3 linked regions of the Ovis aries genome follow. The protein of the gene in region 1 interacts with the protein of each later gene in a pairwise test. Links are inferred from orthologs where the notes say so. Each region holds a gene or a part of one and is shown on either strand. Other genes may lie near its edges.

Region 1 (3,144 bases):
TTTCTTGTATCATGGTGATAAGCCTAACAGTCTAAAACCAGAGACTAGGAAAAACACGGCCAGTTAAGTCAAGAAAACATTTTGCCTCAATTATAAGCATTGATCTGTGTATACTGCATGCCTGAAACATAGAGACTGGTCAATAAATGTTGAACCAAATTCATTCCTCTGGTCTTAAATCAGCCTTGACATTCATTCTTAATAACTTTATATTAAAAAAAAGTCTAATGGTTCATCTTTTAGGTAAGTCTCCTGAATGAATTACTTAAGATTTTTTTTTAAACCTGCAAAGCAAAGGCTAGTCTGCAAATCAGCAAAACAAGAGCAGCCAAAATGAGCCCTCCTATGATTAATACTAAGTGAGTCAAGTGCTCAATTATTTCTCTCCTGATTGCTAGAATTACCCCTGAAAATCACCAAATCTCCACTTTACTTTAAAGCAGCAAGCATAAGAGTATCTCACAGATAACTGAAACTATGTCTGTCACTGAAATGCTATTTCTAAAATGGTTTCTTTTTCACTTCAAAAAAAAAGAAAAAAAAAAAGAAAATGTAAAATAAGACAATACAGCTCAGTTTAATTTCAAACGTTAATATATTTTCTATTTTATATTGAACATATGCATCTGTAACCCCTCATTGGCAGCAACTATCACATCCTCATAAAAGGGGCAAAATCTGTAAGATGCCTCTTAAAATAAATATTCTTCTTTATAAAATAATAAAACTTCAAATAAATATTCTTTACACTAAACAATATGTTGAAAAAAATTAGAAAATAAAGGTTGAATTTTACTGTAACTGTACAATATACATGAAGTCCAAAGGGAAATCAGAGTCTTACAATAAAGGCTTTCTGTAAGGCAAAATACAATCTAAAAACATACTGATTGATTCACATTCTTCCGAATGTACAACATATTAGTATAATATTTTGTGAATGTGCCGTATAGTACGGCACAACTTGTTTTTCACAGTTGCAAATATTATTGTATATACAAAAATATAGCACATTATCTCTGGAGAAAACAATCGGGGGGTGGGGGAAGGGAGAGGGGAAGTCATCTGCTAATTTACAAATTTTGCAAGTACTATTCACAAACAAAAACTTCACCTAGAGTGTCTATTGCTTTAGCTTATGCAACATGTAGGTCACCAAGGTCTGTATTCCACACTCTGAGCTCCACTAGCTGAGTTCTAACAAGCATATCAATTAAAATGGCACATGGATGAAAAAAGCATTTCACTGCAAACAGCACAGGATATCCCAACCCTCTATCAACAGTGCCAAGATTCTAGCTGTTTAGTTGGTTGCATATGTGTATTAAAAAAAAAAAAAAAAAAAAAAGAGGGGCAGAGGGAAATAATCCTTATGACTGCAATCTTCCTGATTCATGATGCTATGTTGGTTTTTCAAAGTTCCTGGGTGGGACAGTGGGAACTTTGCAGCAAACTGTGTTTGAATTTTTACAACGGCATCCGGGCCTGTTCACCCGGTCATAACACCCCTGGCACAATTTAAGGCAACCCTTGGCTGGCAGGTAACACCACAAGCAAGGCAGAAAGAGGGACATGACGCCCATGGCTGACCAACGTGTACAACAGTGTGACTGGCTACAAGAGCACGGGTTGTCCGCACAGTTGTCCTCATCGTCGTTGGAACAGTGATAGAAGAGACCCTTCACACAGCACACGCAGGTCCCGTAGTCGATCACATTCTGGGCCGAGCAAAGGCACTGCTTGTCGCAGATCCAGTCTGACGGCAGAGGCCTCGGGTAGGTGCACTCCTTGCACTTGCACTTGCCACAGTCCTCACACTTGTAGGCGTGCAGCCCTACATCTTCCTTGCTCAGTGGCTTCAGCTCACCTGGCTTGAGCTCCGATTTGGGCTGCACTCGGATGATCCTGTCTGCCAGAGGCCCCGAGGAGAAGGAGGATCCTAGGAGCCTCTGTTCGGAGGAACTGCTGCTAGTACTTGTCCTCGTGCTGCTGCGAGAGCCCGAGCTGACTGTGCTGATGGACCGGGCCAGAGGGGCCCTGGCTGAAGGGTGGGCCGGTGGGTGCTGGGGCCGGGCGGGCTGGCGGGGCTCCGGCAGCCCGTGGAGTCTTTCGTGTTTGTGCTGGGTCGTGGGGCGAGGAGCAGGCTTGAGCCCAGCTCTGGGGAGCACAGTGGGCCCCTCCGTGTACTCATTCGTGTTCCGGATGGCCCTGATCTGATCCAGAGATAGCACGTGTACCTGCTGGGGGAGGGCGTCCCTGGGGTCAGGCTCCCCACGCTGCCGGCCACTGTCACGGGGTGTCTGCAGCAACGGCTGCGACCCGCTGCCACTCTGAGCTCTGGCCTCCATCAGGTCTGGGAAGTGTAGTCACTCCAGCAGGCTTAGAACACATCTGAATTCCTGCGGAAACCAAGAGGAAGGAGACAGTTTACACTCCAGAATACTACCCACTCTCCACCCACCTGGCTTAACTCTTCACTCCCCACGTTCCCTGGAGAAACAGACTTTGAAAATGGAGTGGCTGTGGAACGTATTAGGATGGCCGTCTTATCCACACCTGTACCCGAAAGTAAAAATTACAGCTAGGTATCCACCGTTCTTTAATCCTGTGAAGTGTAGTGACACCAAACTGATCTTTGCTTCAATCACGAGTAAGGATTCCTTACTCGTATAAGCACAAAATCTGCAAGGTTCAAGTTCCCTGTAAAAACTGCAGGAAAGTACTCTTGGAATATAACATTCATACTGACATTTTCAAAAGCTGAATGAATACCTTTTCAAAGTGTGAAATAGGTTTCAACTTATGGTCATTTTTGCCTGGAACTTCAATAGATACAGCCTAGAAATTCTTGGTTCCTACTTAACATCTGCTTTTACATTAAACAGCTTGAACTATTCTGTGACTTTACAAAATCTCATAGGATGAAATGACATGCAAAAAAAGGGTAAATACTTCTCTTCCCCAGGAATATACACTTTATACAACAATCATGCATTATCATTAACTATATAGTAGCACGAAGTTATAGAATTGAAAACACATCAATTTAAATCCTGTTAGGTGCCAGGAATACAATAGAGCAAACTTACACCTCGAGCAACAAAAAGACAGGAACTTATTTTCAACTTTCCAACAACTTGAGAA
Region 2 (3,658 bases), on another chromosome or scaffold:
AGAACTATTCACTGCTACATAGAAAGATGCCCTGATCCAGCAGGAGATAACCAACTTTTTGATTGCCATTTTAGATTATTATGCATTTCAAATTCCTTTAATATTTAAATAGCATATATTCCTTAGAAATTTAAGAGGCATGACTAAGAAAATACTATGGCTTATAGTCAAAATTAAACAACATTTCTTAATAAGTACAAAGTTATTTAAGAAGGCACATTATTAAAAGATGTTTAAAATTTTAAAGTCATTTCACAGAAAAAGTCTGTTGCTAAAAGACAAGTTTTAACACTGAGAATGGTTAACCAAAATTTAAGATTATCAACAGAATTTTCCTGCAGGTATTCATAAAAATGTCTATAAATTTCTAAAATGCTCAGAGTGTAAATGTTAACATTTTGTATTTTGGGGGTACATTTTTCTTGGATTACTCTAGCATTTAGGGGAGAGAAATTCTCCTACAAATATCACAGAGGTGATTATCAAATGTAAAGGTCTTGACCTTTATAAAAATAAGATAATTAATGACCAAGTCAAGAAATTACTCAAAGTTATTATGCATACTTGGGATAAAAATCTGTGATTCTCTGCAATGATATTATTTACTTAGGTTACGTGGTGCCACATGTGGGATCTTAGTGCAATAATCTTCTTAAAGAAATCAGAAAACTATCTATTCAGCTATAAAGAGATAAAAGTCAGTAAGAATTCACTAATGAAAAGGTCACCAAAATCTGAAAAATACTTCAATACTAAAAGACGAAAATAAATAAATTAGTTTTTCAAAACAAATTCTTGCATGGAAGCAAAGGGTTGAGAGTAAGTAAGTTTCTTCCACCTCTGACAGTCTATTAAAAAACCTAAGTTTTATTAAAGAATTCCAATCTTGGTAATCACATTTCACAAAGCACAATCAATAAAGGCTATTTTTACCTTGATATTCTGGGCATCAACATTAGCTCCAGCTTCCAGAAGAAGACTAATGACTGTGGTATTCCCTGCTAGTACTGCCCAATGCAGAGCAGTGTTTTTGTGATACTTGTCACCAAGGTTAACTGAAACATTGAATGTTAAAAGCAATCTAGTTGGATCCACACTGAAAAGGAAAAAAAAACACAACAACAACAACAACCCTAATTTCAATTATAGAAATCATTACAGACACTAAACTGATTGTGGTTATATTCCATCTTGGAACACTTCTATTCTAACCTATTTTCGACAACTTTATAATGAGTAATGAGACAACATTTTTAACATGAAGAATTAAGTATGTTCTACATCACAGAACGTAAAGTAAACTAGTTCCAAGAGAGAGCACACTTGGTCCTAATGTTTATATTCTACATCATGGAGTTAATGTCATTAGTATTTAAATACTTAAACAATTAAAATTTTAAATTTAAATCTAGATTGTTCCAAAAATGATTTAAGGCAACTTATTAATGTTAAACTTGCCAATATGCCAGTCATATAAAAAATGAGTTATACTTTTAATAAGAAGGTAGCATCTTCCATTCTTGGAAACTGCTTAAGACTACCTTAAGGGCACTACAATTGCCAACATAAAGGTAAACATAAAGACTCAAAATACCCAAAAGGATAATCTGTGTTATATACTACATATTCATGGTAAGAATTTTAAATACTAATAAGTATAACATTAATTGCTTTTTCTCATCACTTGTTTTACATTTTATCATGCTGAAAATGATCTGAATAAGTATTTCATAATGGTTACATACCTATGTGTTCTATAAGCTGCCCACATTAAAGGCGTCATCCCATTCTGATCCATCATATCTACATCCTGATAGAGTAAAAAGTCAGACAGTAAAAATGTCTAAGTCCCTACCACATGTACTTAGAAAAACGTAATTTACACATCACAAAAGAAGCCGACATGAGGACACCACTCAGTCAAGGTTGATTTATGAAACTTTTCCTTTCTTAACTTTAAAGTAAAACTATTCAATATTTATTAATATTAAATATTCAAATTAATATGGATATGTGTTACTTATTTATAAATAAAAACATGTATTTAATATTTAATTAACTTCTATTTATAGTTTTCTCTTTTAAGATGCTTCACTCAGCCTTTTAAAGATCTTGACCTACCCTTGATCTTTCACCCACAATGGACAGATTAAATAAATGACTTCTGTCTCTGAAAAACTTATTTATATTAATTCATGATATGAGGGAATAATAAAACCCTGTTTATTTCTAGACATTTTAAAACACAGAATAAATTCAATAAATTTTAAAAGAGTCAAATGTTCTGAATCTACTAAAATTTACTGAATTTGTTCCTTGTTTTAAAATGCTTCTTATCACTATATCACTATGCATAAATATTTTTAGAATTAACTATCTAGACAAAGTCTGTGGTGAAAAAGCAAGGTAATAAAGCAATCCTTTGTCTTAGTCCCTACCATTTTCATTTTTTAAAAACTCATTATTTATTGTGCTTTTTACTCCCACATACTTAAAATAAAAAACCTGAATTGGCACTTTTTGATTTTTCAGTTTCAGGCATTATCCTCAACATCCATATTTTACACAACCTCAGCATGTAAAATGGCATGTTCTCTCTCTTCTCACTGGCCCATCACAGGCATGCACCTTTCCTAGTCCTTCCTCTGAAGAGATAATAATTCAGGTTCTGTAAATATTTGATGCTTACATTATTATAAATATATATGAATACTATTCCCAACAAAGTTATGTAGAAACCATGATTACTTTTTCTCTCCTACCCAGCTTTTTGCTTTCCTTGGTACTCTATTTTTTTCTCCCTTTTGCTTAATTTTTTTTTTTCTTTTTAGCAAATTAGAATTAAAACTACAACCTATTCAACCCAAACTCTTCTCAAGTTATCTAAAGCTTCTTTTAAGACATGCTAATGTATCAGAGACTCTATTCATTTCACTTCCCTAAAATTCTTTCTTGACCCACTCCAGCAATCAATTTGGCTTGATTCTGCTATGTACCTGAGGCATCTGTCTCATTAACTAGAACAGGACTTCTTTAAAGATCAAAATTGTTTTAAAATCATCTTTGTATCTACTTTTCGGGGCACGGAGAATAATCAAAAACCATCTGTTAAATGAAAAGACAAGTTTATCTATCTACTCTTCTAGGCTTGGGAAAGGCATGGGTGTTAGAACAAGACAGACATGATTTTGAATTCCTAGCTCCATCACTTACTAACTGTAAAATTGGCAAAATTACTATAATTCTCTGAACCTCAGCTTTCCCATCTACAAATGTGAATACAAATAATGGCTTCATAAGATCCCTGATGATTAAATGGAATGATGTGTGTAAGGCAACCTAATCCTATAACAGACATTCAATAAAAATTGTTTCCCCTTCATCCCGTCCCCATCTCCTATTCCTGGACTACATCAAACCTGCAGATGTTATCCAACATATGCTGTCTAATCCACCGCCCAGCGGAGAGAACGTAGTCATAGTGCGTGCACTGTTAGAACGCTTCATAACTCTACGTGCAGTTCTCTGCAAGCCACTCTCACTGATGGGAGTATGTCTCCAACGTCCAAATATATTGAGGTAAAGAGAAAAAGAGCCGAGACAAATGATAACATATCCTCCTTGGACATCACTAATTTTAGTCTGTCTCATGAAAACT
Region 3 (3,658 bases), on another chromosome or scaffold:
AATTTCTATAATTCTAATCCAGACTGTCAAATGAGTTCATTGCTTTGAGAAAATGGAGATCAAGTTTTTCTCTTAAGTCACTTCCTTATATAATGTGAAAGTTCCTTCAGTTCTCATTGTTTACTAAGGATTTTGTTGCCACTAACGTCTTATACTGTAGTTTTGAGGAATATTCAGAGACAGTATGGAAGGTTGACTGCCTCAGCCATTTTGAAAGTAAAGCGCAAGTGAATAGTCTTTTTTTTTTATCCCACATTATTTTATTTGGTATTAATAATATTTTGGCTTGATACCATAAAGACTTATTTACCAAAGTCATTTAAGCCACTCTAAAGTGTGGGTCAACAAGCTTTTTCTGTAAAGGGCCAGATAGTAAATATTTTAGACTTTGTGGTAGACCATACAGTCTCTGTCACTGATATTCAGTTCTGCCATTGCAGCATGAAAGCAGCTATAGAAAATGAGAAAGTGAATGAGTGTGGCTATTTTCCAATGAAACTTATAAAAGCATCTGGCTCACTGGCCATAGTTTGCCAGTTTCTGTTCTAAAGGATGGTAATGAAAATAAACTTGACTAAGGAGTCAGTTTTCTTCTGCAACCCTACATACCTCATTTGATATGGGAACCACTTTTTTAAAGGAAACTGTGTTTTTGATCCGATGCTTCTTGTAGCTCCACAATTTTCATCCCTACTCCTGAAAATTACTAGTATAAGCCTGACATGGATGAATAAGTAAGATTTCATAACTATTTCTCAAAATTTAGGAAACCAGTGATCTGATTTTTATGTATTTAATGTCTTTTTATAACCTATTAACTAAAGAGGAAATTATGAATTATTTAAGAATTTTAGTATCTCTAATTTCTATTACAACTGATAATTGAGATGCTTATATTTACATATGAAAAATACATGGCTCAGGACTTCCTTGGTGGTCCAGTGATTAAAACTCTGTGCTTCCGCTGCAGGGGTGAGGGTTTGAATCCTTGGTTGGGGAACTAAGATCCTGCATGCTGCATGGCACAGCAAAAGAAAAAAAATAGATGACTAACTTAATTATTTTTTGTAGAACTGTGCTTTATTTTGATATTTTTCTCTTAAGAGATAAGCATATCATGATTGTCTGCCTATGAGTTAATCTGGTGACAGGAAGTAAGATTTTTTGTTTGTTTGTATTTTAAGGGACATCCCAAGACTCTGAAAGGATGAGTGATTCATGCAGACTCAGAAATTAAGCTGTGATTTGGGCAGACTTTGGGCATAAGCCATTTGACCATTTGGGTCCTAGATGAGTTTCTTTTCTATAGTTTTGTTCAAAATTTGAAGTAGTTGCTCATTTCAAGACTTATTAATCCTTATCAGAAATGTAGCACCCCTCTCTGCCCTAAGGAGGAGAGTGACCTTTTCAGAATTCCAGGGACACAATTTAGGGATGACCTAATCCTTCTTACAGCTCCCTGGGGACAAAGAGTTTGTATCATGGCAGCAGGATTTGGAGGACTCCGTAAAGCCCACACAGCAGGCCCGGCCCACTGTTATCCGCTGGTCTGAAGGAGGCAAGGAGGTCTTCATCTCTGGGTCCTTCAACAATTGGAGCACCAAGATTCCACTGATTAAGAGGTGAAGACAAGTGTCTTGGTTGAGTCTGCTGGGTCCAGGAGTAGAGACCCAATTCCCTTTCTCAGGAGAGAGACTTGGCTGGACTACTCCTCTCCACCTGCTAGGGACTTTCTCTAGAACATTTTTTGTGACCAGTAACTATATCTGTGACATTTTTTTTAACCTTATAGTGAGTCAGAGATGTTTTACCACTTAGAATGTCATTGCCTCAGAGGGACTTCCAACAGTTTTGGAGGTATGTTCTTTAGGATTGTGTTAATAGAAGTCCTTTCTATGCTTGTGGGAAGTCTCCCGTAACTGCCTGAGTCCAGTTGCCCTGACTTCTGCACTAAAACAAAACACGTTGTAAAGTTCTAGGTAGTAATGTTATTTGTTGCTTGCAGAGCAACAATGAGTTATGTAACTGACTATGGCCCTTTGTATATAGGTAATTTTCTAGAAAATGCTCACCAAAATGTGGAAAGAGTACCTTGAGGCACTTCATATCCTGAACCTACTTGCTATCTTTTTTACACTCCTGAGGGATCTGTTCTGCTGAAGCAAAATAGTTGTACTAAAGTGAAACATTCTGGGGGATTAATATCTTTATTGTTCTTTTTCAGATATTAGTTAAAAATTAAAGTTGTTAGGAGGGATAGCAAATACATGCTCAAGGGGATATAGAAAAGGAGAATGGGTTTATAAATTATTTTTCACTCCAGGGGGTGCAATCACTTAGGAATGTGGGAGATCACTGGTATGATACTGTGATTGCCTCATGGTTTTACATTTATCTTCTGTCTTCTAATAAGAATTTAGCCTGTTTAACTTTCTGTTTTCTTCTGTAGCCATAATGACTTTGTTGCCATCCTGGACCTCCCTGAGGGAGAGCACCAGTACAAGTTTTTTGTGGATGGACAGTGGGTTCACGATCCATCAGAGGTAAGACCTTGACCTCCGAGGGTAACCACTGGCTTAACAGTCTCCTTTTAGCTGTTATTCCGCTGGGTGTCAGATATCATTGCTGTTGGATTTCCCTGTTGATAAAAGATGGTGGTGTCAAGTATAATCTCTTCTAAAAAGAGGAGAGTTGAATGGATGAGATGTATTTGAAATGGGGATTCATGAATTTTTTTTTTTTTCCATTCACTGTTTCAGCCTGTGGTTACCAGTCAGCTTGGCACAATTAACAATTTGATTCATGTCAAGAAATCTGATTTTGAGGTGTTTGATGCTTTAAAGCTAGATTCAATGGAAAGCTCAGAGACATCTTGTCGAGGTAATTTTGTAGTATTTGCTCTTTCTTGATCTTTCCTTTCTTAAAATGCATGTTTCTTCCCAAGAGTGGTTTTTGTTTTTTTCATTTTCGACTTAGGAATCTTCCAAATTGTATGTATGTTTCTCCTGTAAACATTTAGGTCATATTCTCAGAGAATGAAATCTGTGTAATGTGTTTGATTTCACAGTAAGTGAAAGTAAATATATTTGATCTACATTAAATTTACATTGTAACCCAACACACACATCACACAAACCAGTAACATGTCTTGCACTATGATGTTTGCCTTTATTACATGTGAAGCACTTTATTTTCTACTTTATTCTTCTTTTTATAAACGACTAATGTGCTGTGATCTATAGTTTAAAAAGCTATTTCTAATAATATTTCAGTTTTTTCATTGACCTTTGACAGTATCAACTAGCAGGAGCTACTTATGTCTCCTGTGCCATGTTTAGCTGCCTCAACTTAATCCCGCCAGATTGATAGCTTAGTTGGCAGTTGTATATTTAATAGGCCCTACCCATATGGCAGTCTTTGGGGAAAAAAGAGTTATAAAAACCTCAAATTTCTTTTGTGTATATGTTAACTGAAATTTTTAAAGTTTTGGGTTAAAAAAAAAAAATCCTCAATAGAGGAATAGATCTCTATGCTTTTGTTTCTCCCAGTATTTTTTCCAAGGCCTTCATCTCTACTTATATTGACTGTAACACCAGAAAAGCGATTTGCTGTCCACATTCACAGTGACCAGTTTTGTTTCTTTACAGTAAAGACTGTG

The links.
Region 2: the proteins of SPRY2 (region 1) and ZDHHC17 interact in binary tests that used the Homo sapiens proteins (3 or more experiments, as listed by UniProt). The link is inferred for Ovis aries from reciprocal best matches to the Homo sapiens genes SPRY2 and ZDHHC17.
Region 3: the proteins of SPRY2 (region 1) and PRKAB2 interact in binary tests that used the Homo sapiens proteins (3 or more experiments, as listed by UniProt). The link is inferred for Ovis aries from reciprocal best matches to the Homo sapiens genes SPRY2 and PRKAB2.

What each region holds. Positions count from the first base shown.
Region 1 is NC_056063.1:55,940,182-55,943,325, forward strand, and holds the end of SPRY2 (protein sprouty homolog 2), read right to left. Parts: intron 2,400-3,144; 5' UTR 2,349-2,399; coding exon 1,401-2,348; 3' UTR 577-1,400; downstream 1-576.
Region 2 is NC_056056.1:112,711,690-112,715,347, reverse strand, and holds part of ZDHHC17 (palmitoyltransferase ZDHHC17), read right to left. Parts: intron 1,811-3,658; coding exon 1,746-1,810; intron 1,097-1,745; coding exon 934-1,096; intron 1-933. UniProt on the Homo sapiens protein: Palmitoyltransferase that catalyzes the addition of palmitate onto various protein substrates and is involved in a variety of cellular processes.
Region 3 is NC_056054.1:98,147,378-98,151,035, reverse strand, and holds part of PRKAB2 (5'-AMP-activated protein kinase subunit beta-2), read left to right. Parts: intron 1-1,455; coding exon 1,456-1,622; intron 1,623-2,449; coding exon 2,450-2,543; intron 2,544-2,759; coding exon 2,760-2,880; intron 2,881-3,658. UniProt on the Homo sapiens protein: Non-catalytic subunit of AMP-activated protein kinase (AMPK), an energy sensor protein kinase that plays a key role in regulating cellular energy metabolism.